Linked DNA regions of Drosophila melanogaster. The protein of the gene in region 1 binds, or shares a complex with, the protein of each later gene. Each region holds a gene or a part of one and is shown on either strand. Other genes may lie near its edges.

What was found. The genes of interacting proteins can lie anywhere in the genome.
Region 2: MED16 (region 1) and MED31 share a complex: the UniProt entries of both Drosophila melanogaster proteins name them as parts of the mediator complex.
Region 3: MED16 (region 1) and MED24 share a complex: the UniProt entries of both Drosophila melanogaster proteins name them as parts of the mediator complex.

Annotation. Positions count from the first base shown.
Region 1 is NT_033778.4:22,181,155-22,186,392, forward strand, and holds MED16 (mediator complex subunit 16), read left to right. Parts: upstream 1-1,983; 5' UTR 1,984-2,056; coding exon 2,057-4,513; 3' UTR 4,514-4,738; downstream 4,739-5,238. Other genes in the region: CG11275 (uncharacterized protein), read left to right, coding at 122-1,375; Vps35 (vacuolar protein sorting 35), read left to right, coding at 5,107-5,166. UniProt on the Drosophila melanogaster protein: Component of the Mediator complex, a coactivator involved in the regulated transcription of nearly all RNA polymerase II-dependent genes.
Region 2 is NT_033777.3:4,640,290-4,643,839, reverse strand, and holds MED31 (mediator complex subunit 31), read right to left. Parts: upstream 1,878-3,550; 5' UTR 1,845-1,877; coding exon of another isoform or gene 1,832-1,844; exon of another isoform or gene 1,557-1,831; 5' UTR 1,440-1,556; coding exon 1,412-1,439; intron 1,272-1,411; coding exon 1,182-1,271; intron 1,090-1,181; coding exon 593-1,089; 3' UTR 548-592; downstream 1-547. Other genes in the region: nuclease slx1, read right to left, coding at 1-296, 1,832-1,844. UniProt on the Drosophila melanogaster protein: Component of the Mediator complex, a coactivator involved in the regulated transcription of nearly all RNA polymerase II-dependent genes.
Region 3 is NT_037436.4:8,189,641-8,197,120, reverse strand, and holds MED24 (mediator complex subunit 24), read right to left. Parts: upstream 5,852-7,480; 5' UTR 5,733-5,851; coding exon 5,643-5,732; intron 5,600-5,642; exon of another isoform or gene 5,550-5,599; coding exon of another isoform or gene 4,795-5,549; intron 4,708-4,794; coding exon of another isoform or gene 4,113-4,707; exon of another isoform or gene 4,005-4,112; intron 3,932-4,004; coding exon 3,845-3,931; intron 3,787-3,844; coding exon 3,629-3,786; intron 3,560-3,628; coding exon 2,717-3,559; intron 2,650-2,716; coding exon 2,289-2,649; intron 2,232-2,288; coding exon 1,414-2,231; intron 1,275-1,413; exon of another isoform or gene 1,271-1,274; coding exon 646-1,270; 3' UTR 548-645; downstream 1-547. Other genes in the region: NEDD8-conjugating enzyme UbcE2M, read left to right, coding at 238-381; CG7387 (uncharacterized protein), read left to right, coding at 4,113-4,707, 4,795-5,549; Atg18a (Autophagy-related 18a), read right to left, coding at 6,853-7,070, 7,152-7,279. UniProt on the Drosophila melanogaster protein: Component of the Mediator complex, a coactivator involved in the regulated transcription of nearly all RNA polymerase II-dependent genes.

The DNA of each region.
Region 1 (5,238 bases):
GCGCCTGAATAGTTTCTATTATACTTCGAATGATTGATGGCCGCCTATGACACGGGCAAATTGGAAACAGGTTTTCGAATGGCTCATTAATATCTACCACCTTTCTCTGCCCCTTTCGCAGATGAGCATCTCGGCGGTGGATCGCAAAGAGCCGGGCAGTGTGAGCAGCGGTCTGGGTAGGCGATACGGGCAGCTGCTCCGTGGAGCCAAGTACACAGATTGCGTGTTCCACGTGTGCGAGGAGCAAGTGAAATGCCACAAGCTCATCCTGAGCTCCGCCAGTCCCGTTTTCGAGGCAATGTTCTTTGGTCCCATGCAAAACAACGAGCCCGAGCCGGAAATCGAAATCCACGACATAAGCTCTGCCATCTTCAAGGTGCTGGTGGAGTACATCTACACGGGCGTCGTTGACTACAATGGCCTGGAGCTGGTGGCCTGCATTGAGCTGTACTACGCCGCTGAGAAGTATCTGCTGGAGGAGCTGATCGCCGACACGCTGATGGTTATCACCCGCAAGCTGCGATTTGCCAATATCTTGCCCGCTCTAGAGCTAAGTGTTTGCATGGGCCTCGACGGGTTGCTGGAGGTCTGCATGACCTTTTTCATGCGATGCTGTGTTAATAATGGACAGTATATGAGCCACCTTAAGGAGCACTATGTGCACGTGTCCAAGGAGTGTGTGAAGGCCATAATAGCGGCGTGCAAGGAACCGCACAAGTTACTCATCTGGTATGTTTATGAGTGGACACGACAGGAGTGCGAGCAGTTGGGTCTGGGTCCCAGCGATGCCGACTTAGTAGTGCACGACTTGGGTGGCAAAACAAGCGACTGGCCTGCGGCTTCGGGTGCTAGTGATTTGGAATCACCTGCCCTAACTCCGGTGGTTTTGGTGGAGCGCTGCTATTACAAGGCCTGCAGGCCCTTTACAGTGGATGCAGAAACTCCGCTGTTTCGCTTGCGTCTAAAGTGCTCTAGATTTATCTCCTTGATGGGCTTGGTCCTGAACAGCAGGCTGACTCCCAACCTATTGGGTCACGTCCAGCAGCTGGAGTACCGCGAATCGCTGCGGCTGGACCTTTGCGAGGTGCCCGCTGAAAGCGAGGGTCCGGCCACGTCGCCCGTATGGAGTCACGTTGTCCAGAGCCAGAATACCAAGTACAACTGCAACCTGCATCTTGGCTGGCGACGCGAAGAGGCCTGTGTGCTGAATCCGGAGCTGACCTATGAGCTGCAGATCCGCTGGGACAGCAGTGCTTACGGCGCCGAGTATCCGTGCAGCCTGCAGTCCTGCCAGGCGGACGGAATTCGGTTCACTGACGAGGACAGCTTCAGCGGAAGTCTCGTCAAGGGACTGCGCTATGCCAACCTGGTGTAGCCACTTCAGCCGCGATATCATAATTAGTTAGTCCGTAAGACGTGTATGTATTTATTGCCCTAAGTTAATGTACGCTGCCTCAGAGTTCAATAAACTGTGAGTAATATCGCTTCAAACACAAGACGTCTGCTGATAAATATAAAAAGCCGGTTTGCAGCCGTTTTTGTTTGGCGAACGAATCGAACTCGATCGGGGAACGGCGTCCTGGCTGCGAATACGGAAACTTATCTCACCTGTTGTTGCGGCCACTAAAAAAAAAAAATCGGTAAAACAATAAACTATAATATAATCACCAGATGTAAACAAAGCGAAATTGAACGAGGGACAGTGTGGCCAACTGGTCATAATAATTCTTGCTTAAATTGGGGCGACCGTAAAATAATTAACAGTGAGAAACTGGCTATTATTTAATAACTTAATTTTTGTTTAAATGATTAATGATTTAAAGCTGCTGCGCTGTAAAAGCTTTATTTGCTGTTCAGAATTAAAATATTAATGAGCACTATCTTAAATCTAAACATAAAAACCAAACATTTTACAGTAACAATGGAATCAAAAATGCAGTGGAAAAGCGCTAAACACCCGCGAAACAGTGCTGTAAAGTTCTTCACAGAGTAGTGTTGGCAGACGCCGGGTGCAAAACAATAATAGTCCGCTTTGGTTTTTGTTTACGCTGCAAAAATGACGATTTTGTACAAAGTGGAGGGCAAGGAGTTCAGCAAGGACAGCGTTTTTCCGCACAAGAAGGTCCTCTGCTCAGTCTCCGCACGGAACATCGTTGCGTTTAGCGCCCTCCAGAGCGCCATATTTCCGGCTTCCCACGGAGGAGATGCCGGCGATGGATCCTTGCCGGGAGCGGGTTTGGCCGTAGGCGCGAGCAACAGCCATGTGTACGTGTGCGACATCGTGACGCCGTGGGAATACTATAAGGTGTGCTCCTCCAAATCGCTTATCAGCGTCCTCCAGTGGAGTCCCAATGGGGAGCAACTGCTGCTTGGATACGTCGGCGGTCGCGTCGAGATCTGGCAGCCGAGGAACCAGTCAATTAACCTATGGGTGCTGCAGTATTACGCCACCGTGCCCAGCGAGGACATTATAGAAGCACAGTTCTTTCAGAATGGCAAAGGAGTGATCTTCAATGCGCTGAAGAAGGATCACACCTACTATGCGGAGAAGTTCGAGCGGGTGGAGCAGCAGAGGCCCACTCTCAGCGGATTTGGCGGAGTGGCCAGCGAGGGATGCGTGCTACTCACTTCCTCAGGCCTGCTGGCCGCCTTCAGTCTCCCCGCAATCCAAAAGACATCCGCCGCAGGAGCTGATGGTCCTGCCCACGAGGTCGTCGAGTTGACACCCGCGCTCCACAGCATCGGCATATCGCGCAGCTTCATCGAACACTGCAGCATGACGCCAAGTCCATCGGGAGCCCTTAATATCGCTTTCAGCTGTGGCTGGCAGCAACAGTTGGTGCAATGCTTTAAGGTCTCGCTTTCATTGGAGGGCGAACTGGGTCTGGAGCAGCACTTGGCCATCAAATCCGAGTCCCAGACCAGCATATTTCTGGGTCCTCTTGACGGGAGGCGGATCAGTCACCTAAAATGGACGCGAATAGCCAACGAGGATGTGATTTTTATAGCCTACGCTTGTCCAGATGGTGCTGGCAGCCAACTGGAGCAATGGACATTGACACGCCGTCACCAAAGTGTCCACGCCCTTCTCCAGGGTGGAGGAGGTGCCAACAACAAGCCAAATGAGTTCGTGCAATCGGAAAGCTGGGAGCAGGTGGGCAAAGTGCAACTAAATGCATCCTTGGCGGATATCAGCGTTACACGACTATCGGTATCAACGCCGGACTCTTGCCAAGTGTACGCCATTCTGCAGGACAACAGCGTCCAGGTGCTGGAGCCCAACTCGATGAAGCAGCTTAATCACACCCAGTTTGATAGGTTATCTGACGCCAGTGGAGCAGTAAAGTTCGTTAGCGGCGACTTGACACCTAGCAGCCAAATTCTCCTAATCTTTGATAGCCATGCACAACTTTACGCCATGCAGGCACCTCTGCCGAAGCAAGGAGGATCTGGTTTGCTACTTCTGGAATATTGCATCGTTACAGGTTGCGATGCCAGCGATGTGCTACTCCTTAATCTAGGCAACCTGGAGGCTCTGGTGGAGAAGCTAACCGACAACTTTACGCGGCAACCTTCCTTTGTGCGGCACTTTTATTATGCTAATTTTTTGGCCCTCAAGTCCAACATATGCCGCATGCAGCAGCAGGAGTTTGACAATCTCATTATCCTACACGCAATATCCACCACATTCAAGAGCCTCCTGCGACCGTCTGATCTGGGTTTCCAGGATAAAGGACCTGCCGATAACTTGGCCATCAAGCTGGCCGAATCCATTCCGGATGTGGACACCGTGATGCTGAACCTGGACGCCAAGGACTTTACAGTGGAGCCGGTGATGCTGCAAAGTCTACAGCAACTGATTCAGTGGGTCACCGACCTGGCACTCAACATGCTGCATCGTCTGCCCGAGGAGGTAATGAAGACCAAGCTCTCCGGAAAGCGGCCTAGCTACGATATCAGCCGAGACATCGTGGCCATCAGCAGTCTGCGCGAGCTGCTGGTTATGATCCGCATTTGGGGCCTGTTAAACACCCAGTGCCTGCCCGTCTACACCAAGACGATGGACAACATCGATGTGCTAGTGATCTTGTTTCGTTTGCTTACTCGCCTGGCCCAGAATCCTGCAGAACCGGACGAAATGCTGCTGGACGAGTGCAGCCTGCTTTCCAAGCAGCTCCTAATTCCCCAGCCCACCAAGTTCAACCCCACCACGCTGCTGAGTGCCCAAGGATTCGCGGCCGTAAAGTCGGGACAGCTGCAGTTCACCTCCATGGAGGAGCCAACTTGCTTGCAGGACATGGAGACGGAGGAGGTGGTCTTCGCCAGCTCTGTGAAGGATGGCGTGAGCAATCTCCAACTGGGCGCCCGACCCAGCCACATTCGGAGATGCGCCCGCTGCGGATTCGTGTTCGTGAATAACGCCAGCAAAGTGGCCAAGACGTCGGCCCTCAAGGCGTGGTTTAGTAAGTGGCTGCACTGCCACTGTGGGGGCTTTTGGAAGCAGGTTCACTAGTAAATCTATGTGAGCAATGACCTTAGTTATTAAGTATGATTTAAGCTTCAAATAAAAGTACATGATTGCCAGCAATTTTAGTGAAATCAAGAAATTTAATATACTAAATATATTTCTTCTTTGCACGACGTGCTCGTTCAAAAAACTTAAGCCACAGAGAAGTCACCACCATACTTCACTATTTCAAAACTAAATTTATTTGAATAAAATATATTTTTTAACTCTATCTATGAATTGTGGTTGGTGTATTTGCTAACGGTTTGATATTAACAACAACAACATATCGAAGAACTTGCATCACTAGCATGTCAATCGATATCAGGACGTCCAATGTGTCTGTCGGCTGTCGGCAATCGATATCTCCTCTGCAAATAGATATTTTCAGAATAATTGGCTTATTTCACTTCGCCCTAACGCTGCAGTAATGGTAAGTGCATCGAGGTGCAACCTGTAGTCGCCAGAAGTCGAAATTCCTAGAGAACCGAGTGCCCCAGGTCCAGGCTTAACCGAGTGCTGAGTGCCCACCCTGTCGACGTCAAAAGAGGGCTGCCTGTGGTGAGAAGCAACGCCCCCCCGGTCCAAATCCCACGTCCATGTATCCCTGGAGCTCCTCCTCGTACGGCGGCCAGATTCCCAGTGCCGCCAACGTCCGGGTAAATACTCCGCCAATCCCAGATTACGAATCTTGGATATGTGTAATCGTTAATCCACTTATCTTCAATTTG
Region 2 (3,550 bases), on another chromosome or scaffold:
TGAAAGCGACGGCTGTTGCCAAGCCCATTCAAACTGGAGTGCCACTGTATTATTCGGGAATCCGTGCACGATCATTACCATCAGCCACGGCCCTTTGCGACTGGTTTTCCTCGCGCCACCGAAATCACAACCAAGATTGTGTTGGCGTATCCGCCGTTTGGGGTTCACGGTGAAGCCCACGTAGCATTTTCCCCGGTAGCGAGGATCCAAGCTCTGACTGCATAGCAAATAGACGCCGTAGAAGTGGCCCTTCAGCGCGACGGATTCCTCCTGTTGAGAAGCTGTGTCCTGTGGGTCTGTGAATTCACCAACAGATAGATTAATGAAACTTGCTTTGTGTCTGCAACCAAAAACCAACGACAAAGGAGGCGACACCCTAACTAAAGCAATGAGATGAGGTTTTCAAGATTTTCTAAAATAAAAAAAGAAATAAAATTATTTTAGAATTTTAGTTTGGCTAAAATAGCTAAGAAAATAAGGTGTGTTAAGTGGTAGCTGTTTCTCAGCCAAAAAGGAAGATAATAAATGGAATGCAAAATAACTTGTTCCAGGTTCTTATACTATTTTATTGGTAAACTTTTAGTTGCCAGCGCTAGTTTAACTCTAGTTTTATGTTGGCCCCCGATGCCACGCCATTGATTTGCTGCTGCTGCTGGGGATTTCCAGGCTGTGCTTGGACAGGCTGTAGGGCAGAAGACGTCTGTTGACTATCCGCCGTGGAAGCTGACCCGTTCACGTTGGGGGTAGGTGCTGCTGATTCGCCTCCCGTTGCTGCCTCCATGCCGTTCGCCTGCTGTTGTTGCTGCTGAAGCTGCTGTTGTTGCTGCTGGGCGGCCGTAACGTTTTCGATCAGTTTGATGCGCTTGCGAGTGTAGTGCTGCCACTGCAGAATGGCCTGGTCGTCTATGAACTTGCAGCACTGCGAGTTGACGATCTCCCGGCGGAAGTGTTCGTACTGCAGCAGATCGAGGAAGTAGAGGCACATTGGGTACATGAGGTATTTCGCATAGTCCGGCTCCTTCCAGTACTGCAGATACTTCAGGTAGTTGATGAACGACTGGTCCTTGAAAAATCCACGCTGTGCAAGGACTGGCACAAGGCGTTGTAATTGTTTATTTAGATATACGCGCAAGATGGTGAATAAGTGAATATTAGGTAGGTCGAGGTAATATTATTCTTACAGTTTAGATAGTTGGGGTTCGACAGGCACTGCACGAACTCCAGCTCGATCTGCCAGCGTCGCTTCTGCAGCTCCTCCGACTCGATAGCAGCTACGGAAGAAATTGGAGAGCATTAGTCCCTGAGAAATTAGCACCACTTTTGGTAGATCTCTGAGGATTCGGCATGCCAAGCGGTGTCAGTAGGTGTTAGATTACAATGCGAAAATGGGTGTGGATTGGCGTGTACTTACTCTTACCCTTTCCGTACATTTTGGCCATTTTGGACTGGTCTTTGGCTTTGGAAAGGGTCTCGTTGGGTCGGTACTTGCGTCTATTCAGTTTCGGTGTCGGGTTGGGTTCTTGGTTTCTTTCAGTGTGCTATGTGGATGTTCTGAGCTGTGTGTTTTGGTGCACCATCGAATTGAAAACGAAACGTCGCGGCAAACAAAACACACAAGTAAAATTATAAATATATATGGGCTTCGCTAATGAAATAAAATGTATGGCGCGGCAGTGACTGCACAGAGCAAACGCAGGTTGTGGGCCAAAAGAAAACTCGGGAAAACAGTCGACCAGGTTTCTGGGCGCAGGCGGTGGGTTGTCGCTCCCTTTGTGTTGGTGATTTCTTGTGGGAAGGCAGTTAAATTCAGTTTTTAATATTGTCTACAAACCGTAGGAGTTCATTTGGATTGTTGATGGCCGGCGACAACCCTACTTCTGTCCCCGCCAGGGCTGCAAGCTCATCCGAATACGATTTTTTTTTCGTAAAATACTGCTTTTCCGTATATTTTACTTGGTGTGTGCTAACGGTATTCTTGAAAATGTTTCTGTGTTAAAAATTAGAATTAGGGTTGTTTTAACCAACAAAAATCTTTAATACCAGAGTAAGTTTAAACAAATCTGAGCGTATGTATCAAGAAGTACAGCGATCAATGGTATCTACAAATAATCATAATAAAACAATTAAAATTTATATTAAAATATAAAATTCCGACCAGAACATTGACAATTTTTAATTATAATATGTAATTAACAATTGTGTGTAGCCTTCAGTATTTATTTCACTACCCCTAATGTGATGCGCATTTAATTCGGTATTTTCACAAGCCTACGACGAACGCTGTGGAGAACAATGCCTGATTTTTTTGTCAGCCTGAAAAGCAGCGAGGAAAAACTTGAATTTCGTCTGTAAAACATATCTAATCGGAACCAAGCCACTGAAAAAGTCGTAGTTTAGGCTAAATAAACGAGAAATCAACGAGTGAAACTAATTTCTATCTGTGGACAGAACGCCCCCGCACCTATTTTTGTGCTGAGGAACAAGCGAAGCAGCGACGCACAATTCAGAAATGTAAGTATTAACAAAATTATGTAATTTAAGTGCATATGAAACATTATATATGTATATCCAACTATTTCCCCGATTTCGACGGGTTAATCATCATCCACAAAAAATTCATGTTGGCGAAGAATCTATTATTAGATTACAGTGTGCTCTGCTTGAATACAACTCCGAAATGTATATACATATACAGATGCATACAGATGTACACATATGTACATATGTGCATATGTATCTATACAGCACAGCACAGCTGCCGTCCAAATAGAACCAAAGATTGTTTCTTGATAGGCTTCTGAATCATTTCAATGTAATTACGAATGTAAGTCTCTTTTGTGTCCGCTTAGGCAAGCCACAGTCGCAATTTTAATTGATCGATTGGTTTGCCACACTAATTCGTACATCTAAATTCGAGATAAATAGACCATTACCTAAAACAGTATTATAGAGTGAAAAGTGTACAGTGTGTAACTGGTATAAAAAGTGATTCCGACCCTATAATGTAAATGTTTCTTCGATCCGGACCAATGGCCTGGTCGATCTGACCACGATCTACAACGCCCAAATTGGCATATAACACTGTAGTTCCATACAATTGTCATAATAGTTAAAATAGGATTATTAGAAACGTATCAAATAAATGTCTTCGCTGAGTGCTGGGTATCTCATAGTCGCGACTCTTGACTAAAGTGATCTTTACTCCTAAACATCTTCCTATATACATGTGAAATGAATCAATGTTCTTAAGTGGGAAAATTCATAGGTAATATTAAAATGTTTAGTGTTGTAACTATGACCACGGCTTTATTTACGGGGGTGCATAAGGGGTAAAGCCAACGGTTGGCTTTTCCACATAGGAACAGCTGCAGATTTATTGGTATATTTTAAAGAACTGTCTGAGCTTAGCGTTTATGGGTGTCAGCTGGCACTACCTGTCCGGGGGTCGTCCTGGCGTACCTGACTGCCTACAAAACTCATTACATTTTTGCTTTCCATTACAGTTGCAAACCGGTTTTCGGCGCAGAAACACCCACTCGATCGTCCAAGA
Region 3 (7,480 bases), on another chromosome or scaffold:
TTATTTTAGAGGCTATACGCTTTGTTCCATAAGTCTTGATCAACAGCCACAGTTTTCAAGTTACAATTGATTTTTTATGTCTTGTTTTGTGAACAATTGATTTCTAAGTGTGCTTAATTGAACGCCCACTGAAACAATTCAATATAAATGTTTGTTTATACCACTTAACGATCATTATTTCTATTTTTGTTATTACCCAAGCCAACAGTATTACTAATCCAAATTAACTGCTTCCAGGAACCCAATCCCGAGGATCCGCTCAACAAGGAGGCGGCCGACGTCCTGCAGACCAACCGCCGTCAGTTCGAGAACAATGTAAAGAAGGCGATGCGTGGTGGCTGTGTGGGCGAGACCTACTTCGAGTGCTGTCTGCTCAAGTGATATAGGGAATCGCAAGGTCTCTTACTTTAAGCCTGTCCATACACCTCCCCCTACACCCGCTAACTGAAGAAGATGAAGCAAAACACAGACGAACATCGGCGACAACAAATTATTGTAATAAACGAAAACAAAATCCACTGCGTGCAAAGAAGAAGCCGAGTCAAGTCACCAATTTCTAGTTTTTAATACAATTCATTTAGCAATTTCGCCCACCCGTCTCTTAATCATAATCGGCATACCCAATGTGGCAATCATCCAAATCCCTCACAGATGAATGCTGTGCCTGGCCATCTGCATATTTCGCCACAGGCAAAGATCAGACACAGCGGACAGTCTTCCTGCCTGGATTCGCAGATCGTATAGTCTGCTGATGAGACCCACTTTTATGTCGTCGGTGACCAAAACTTTCAGGAGCTGTTGCACCAGGCCGTTGGGCAGCAAGCGCAGGACGGGAGCGACCCTCTCACCACCGCATTCCACCAGCAGCGAAATGAACTGATAAACAAAAACGGCCTTGGGCGACAGTTCATCTCCACTGACAAACTGCAGGAACACTGCGAAAATGTGCTGCACGCTCGTCTGCAGTGGTTCTCTTAGAGTAAGCGGCGTAGTCCGCAGTTCAGATGTGGAAGTGGAGCCCAATAATGCTGCCAGGCCAGCTCCGGTCGTAGTGTCCGTAAAGTCGCTTGAGTTGTCGCTGCCATCGCCAATCACCTTGCGCACTTTGGCTGCATTGGCCGCCAGTTCCTCGTCATCGTGAGATCTCGATCGCTTCTTCATGGCCGTCAAAGCGGAAGTGCCATTTCCTTTGCGGCTCTCCAGGCAGGAAATAATACAGTAAACACAGAGGCGGGCCAGTACCAGGGATTGGGGCTCATTAATGTCCTCACTAGAAAAAAAAAAGATTGCCAAATTGTGAGTACGAGTTCTATCATAGCAGTTTCAATTTTTACATCCTTTCTTGCTAAATCGATTCGATTTGTAGATAATAAATAAATGAAATAATATACAGAAGAAAATATTGGTATTTACCCTTGTCGTCGCAGTATCAGTGGAGCCACCACGTACTGGAGCAACGCCTCAGTGGTCTTCTCAATGTCGAGATGCATTACGGCAAACACAACGTCCATGGTTCGCGACATATCCCTTGTGTACTTGCAGGCCAGCAGTTGCTCCACCAACTGCGTGGACAGCCACGCCGCGCCACCGGCTAGCAGAAGCGACTCCAACGACTGAGCGGCGCGAACGGGCAGGTGACCAGCATCGACTACTGTTCGCCACACCTCCCGAAACTGCTCGACTAGCGGGGAATGTGAAATGAGGCGGGACTTGGTACTTGGGGCAGGATGCACATCGTGTTGCATTTTTCTGATAATCTGATAGGAGAGAGCTAGTCGCTCCTTGGCATTTTCCTGGCTGGAAAGCTCTTCGCTGGTCAACGGAGCCAGGAACTGCTGAATCATGTTTAGTGGTTTCAGAAGTTCCGTTTCCTTCACCGAATACATGTAGGCGCATAGAAAACTAGTGGCGCAAACGGAAAAACTGAAAAGTCTTCTCTTAATATTGTCCAGAATACTTTTAACGTCCGCCGAGGATAGCGTTTCCTGCTCCCAAGCTATTAGCACATGATGAAGCACTCCGGGCAGATTAAGGCAAGTCTCCTGCCAACTTAAGTTGTTTGGCTTAAGTTGTGATGCCTCTGGTTTACTGAAGCTAAGCAAAAGCTCGTCGACAATACTGTCATCACAGAGGGCAAGAATTTGACGCGGATTCTTAAGCTTATTCCTTTCCACCATGCACTCACGCACCCATTTTTCAAAAAATGAGTCACCACGCTCAGATAAGACCACCTGAAGTAAAATAGAATTCATTAAAATTGCAGCGTAATAACAGGCGGGTTTACGAACATCGGATCCATAGGTCTGCACAATGCTTGTCAACATTAGGAAGGAAACATCAAACAGAGTGGACCGGATGACGCATAGCTTGCCCAGGTCGCCCGGCACCGGCTTGGAGTTCTCATTGCACTGGATCAGACGCGATACGAATGTCTTGAGGCGTCCCTCGACGGTAGCCACTGAAAGAATCAACTCGAAGCTGTTGCCCACCGGCACTTGGCAAAGGACATTAACCATGTCCTGGACCTTGTTGGTGCACAGCGTTTTTAGTACTCCGGAAAGCGGAACCTCTGCGCGCTTGATGAAGTTTATATTGGAGGGTGTCTGTTGGCCATTGTCGCATTTTTTGAGTAATTGAGAGGCGGCTTCCCTGAAAGAGTTCGTTTTAAATTATATAATTAAGATGGGTGTACAAAATGCATGATTTCTCGACTAACCTTTGACTGGCGAACTTCTTTACGTGGACATCATTGACTAGTTGTTGCTTGGTCCAGTCATTCAAAAGGAACTCGATCATATTGCATGAGCACTTAGTATCCATGAAGTCTAGCAGCAGATTGTCCTCGATGAGCAATTCCAAAGCCTCCACCAACTCGGGTATGTAATCGGCCGGTGGTGGTTGCTCCCCGGGAATCCGTTGCAGGGCGTGCAATTGCTTAATGATGTGCGGCATTTTAAAGAACATAAAGGCACCCCACATAGTGTCAGGACTTGTATCCGCAACATTGCTCAGCGTGAGGAATCCAGCACGGATGATTTCGTAGAAGAGCCGTGTATTGGAGTATTTCTTTAATCGTTGCAGCATCTGCAACTCAGCCACGTAGTAGCTGGTGTCCTTGCACGGATTGAGAAGCACTTCCACCGCCAGTAAGGGTTGCACGCAGCACGAGATCTTCTCGAGTGTTGACGGCGGATTAAGTGGTTGCATTTCAAGATGCTTGGCTTCTATAAAGGCCAACTGCTGCAATTGCTGCTCCACTTGTGGTGCATTTAGCGTAAAGTTTGAGTTCGTCAACGATCCCTTGATGGTAGCGTACTTATCCCGAATCCGTCCACATATTTCGAGCTCTTCGTGACAGCCCACGTACAGCATAGACAGCAGGAACTGCTGCTGGCTAAGCCGATCTATCACCACGCAGGTCTGGTCCAGCATGTATGATTGCTCAGCACTAATCTCACCATACAGTTCATAGTGCTGCACAGTTCTGGCGAAGATTTGAAGCAGCCAGTACACCAAGTGGACGACGGAACTCGGTAAAACCGCTTCCTCAGATTTTATTCTGGAAATAGAAATGAACAATTATTTTTACTCCTGCTTTTTAACGACTTATAAAACTAAAAGGACTTACCGGCAGGTAACGCCATCCACGATGCTGGCCAGGAATTCAAGGAGCGCTGTAATGCAATAAACGCGCTCTAATTTGTCATATTTGGCAATGCACCGAATAACAGCAGCGTGAGAAACGAGATGGGCGCACAGTGAATGCTTCAGGTAGTTAAGAACCAACTGAAAAGCATAGATTACAATTTAGAAAACAATCTAAATACTCAGATCAACTACTCACCGGATTAGCCGTGGAACCAATGAGTGCCTGCTGCATCAGACAGTCAGCCAGATTGTATACATCTCCACTGACTCCTCTCGGCAGCACCTGAAATAGTAATCAAGGGAAAGACAATAATGAAACATTTTCTTTTCCTGTCAAACTTTAACACAATATCTGGGTCACAACCCCATAAAATAAACAGAAACAGAACCACTTAAAAATCTAGTTAGGATTTCCACTTATATAGTTAGCACACATAGTTGCATATTTCGTTACGCGATAAAAAATGTTTCGTTTAAAATTATTTCGCAGTCCTGGAGACGTATTAAGCACTTTAATTAGCGGAGCTGCAACGGATTGCTGCAGGAAGACGTCACATTGTTTGGAGTTGGATCGCGCTCCCGCTGTCGCTGCCTGCTGGATCTGTATGCGGATGATCAGTCAATATCAGTTCAGGACCACGAAACCAGCCTACTATCCAGATCGCCAGCGGGAGGCGAAGCGAACGTCAGCGGGAGCCACGCCTCAACAGGTGTCATCTCCGGCTGTTAAGTACCCGCAAAGCCGAGGCATGCCCAAGGACTACTACTACAAAGTGTTAGGCGTCAACAGGCACGCCACCATCCAGCAAATCAGATCGGCTTTCTATGCGCTGGCCAAGCGCTATCATCCCGACTCGACGCACTCGGAACAAAAGCTGAAGCACTTCCAGGAGCTGTCCAACGCCTACAACATCCTAACCGACGAGACGAAGCGCTTGGAGTACGATCAGCTGGGCGGGATTAAGGATGAGCGCGCTTTTCTTGAACAGGCGGGCAATCCCCTAAATGTGGGCCTCGAGGAGGCCAAGAAGTTCGATTCGGATAAGACGACAAATGATGGTAAGCAGACGGATTTTAGATACATCAAACACCATTTCACTTTTCACTATATCACGATATGAACACGATCCTTGAATCGCCTTCTAGAGATCAACAAACTGAAGAGCAACGAGTTCGATCTGCCACTTGACTTCCTTGAGGCGACAGTGGGATGCAAGAAGCGGATAGAGCTGCGCTACTTGCGGAAATGCGAGACCTGCAAGGGCAAGTCACAATTGATGGCGCATCGGGATGTGGGCAAGGAACCCTGTCGGCGATGCAATGGAACTGGAAAGGTCATGACCAAAACGCCAACCTTCTCATCGGTGAACACATGCACGCAGTGCAAGGGCAAGCGATTCACAAATCGCAACGACTGCGAAACATGTTCGAATCGCGGCTTCGTGGTGTCCAATGTGGATGTGATGGTATCGGTGCCTTCCGGATCCCGGGACGGTGATGTGGTGAACATTATAAATCCGGAAACGAAGCAGCAGGTCACCTACCGCTTGTCGGTGCCGTCTAGCGACTATTTCCGACGCGTTGGCAATGACATTCTAACCGACAAGCACCTAAACATCTCGGAGGCCATTCTGGGCGGATCCTTTCAGATACGGGGTCTGTACGAAAGCGTGGAGCTGCGTGTGGAGCCGGGCACCCAATCCCACACCCAGGTGGTGCTCAATGGCAAGGGGGTGCGCTCCAGGGAGGGCGTGGGCAACCACATCGTCACGCTGAAGGTGCGTATACCCCGGAATCTCTCCGTAAAGCAACGCCAACTGGTTTTGGCACTGTCCCAGGCAGAGGATCCGGTTTTCGAGCCCAAGACTAAGAGCACGGAGGCGGGCAATTTGAGTCACTAAAATTCTCAATGTACCGGCCTCATTGCGTTTACAATATATTGGTAAACACGAACATTGATTGTTTGGTGTGTTGATTTGCTTGGGTTGCCTTGCCTTTTTTATGTTGATGCCCCACTGGGAGTCCGTCCAGCGCTCGCGCCACGCCACATAGATGAGTTGGAGGATCTTGTTGTTCTCCTTCATCTCTCGCGTCCGTGGAAGTAATATAACTTTTACTTTTCTCGTATTTCACGCAATTTATTTTATTTAAACCTAATATATTTTTTAGCAGCGCTCAGTGTGACCGAGGTATCTTTTATTAATCATACCAAAAGAGTACCATAATTTTCCCATCCTACAGTGTTGAAAAACACACAATCTTAAAATTTGTCGCCAATTTTAAATATTTTGAAAATTTTGTTTTTGCAACGAGGAATTTAGCCAAATAAAGGAAATAATATTAAAATATATTTTAAGACACCGAAAAGGCACCCACAAACAAATTTTAATTCAAATAATTTATTGAATACAATAAAGTAGCGTATGAGTTTCATTTGTAAACTGTTTTCATTTTAAACATTATGTTCTAAAATATTTGACTTTGTACAAAATATATTCTATTTATATATGCCGAAAATTGTTCCTCCATTGCACGCTCCGATTTTTTGAATTTCATTTCACTCATCGTGTCGCTAGCTGAATGTTAAATTTTAAATTGAATATATAATATATATATATAGGTGTGGTGTATGTGCTTAATCCGAGATATTTCGATATGATTAAACAATAGCTAGGCGAGAACTTTACATACAAATCGAGTTCGGTGGATTGTCAAGGGAAGATGCGCGAGGACTGGAAAAATAAAAAAATTAAAAACTAATTTGCAAAGGCCGTTTATTTTGTATAAAAAGCTGGCAACTCAAATATCAAAGCGAATCTGTAAATCCGTCTAAATTATTAATTAACAACTAACTTAGGAGTGTATGACAAAAGCATTTCACATTCCAATGGCAGCGCCAGGAACGGAGGCTTAAAACTAAAAAATGTTTTGGGTAGGGAGAGGCCGTACAAAGGAATATTGGCTGGTACAAAACGAGGAAGAATCATCGCTGACAACGTTAAGAGCTAAATTAAGTCTATGACCTATTTATTTACTTAAATACGCTTGACGCCACAGAGCCACCGTCGTTTATTCATCATCATTATCGCCGCCGCCAGTCGCCAAGCATCATTGTAATCACTTTAGCATCATCGTCCTTATTACTTTGAGGAGTGAGTTTCGTTTACCATCGCTGCATCTCTCATTTTTGATCATTGACCTTGTCTAAGCGGATGAGGGTCCCACGGGATCGTCACCCTTCACGGCCGACGCATAGGAGCTACTTGGTTTGTCGACACCACCGGTAACAGAAACAGCCGACTTGCCATCACCGCCACTTCCACCAGTGCCTGCTCCGGCTGCACTTGCACTGCTCGGCGGAACTCCAGCTGCTCCGCCAATGCTCACGCCACTGTTAAGGCCTAGAGTTTGAGGTGAATCAACTAGAGAATTTGTTTCGATTGTGGGTTTGGTTGGGATGTGTGTAAGTGTGAAGTGTGTGCGAGAAGCGAACAGTTAAGCACCTTTGATATCCATGGCATAGTGGTCCTCCAGCCGCAGGTCGTGCCTCTTTATTAGCTGGCACTCTGCGCCCTCGACGGTGGGAATGGAATACACGTACAAGTACCCATCCTGCGAGGCAATCAAAAGTCTACAAATACAACAGAATGAACCGTTATTTAGAACTTGAAATAGAGGCAGGGTAATCAGTTTGTAGTTCAATTTGCACGTGATTCAATTTTTGTTTTATAAACCTTTATGAAATGTACTAGGCTACTTTTGCAAAGAGCATATTAATTACATTTCAACAGAGTTCAGGGAAATTCAAACATATGAAGCCAGATAAAGTAGG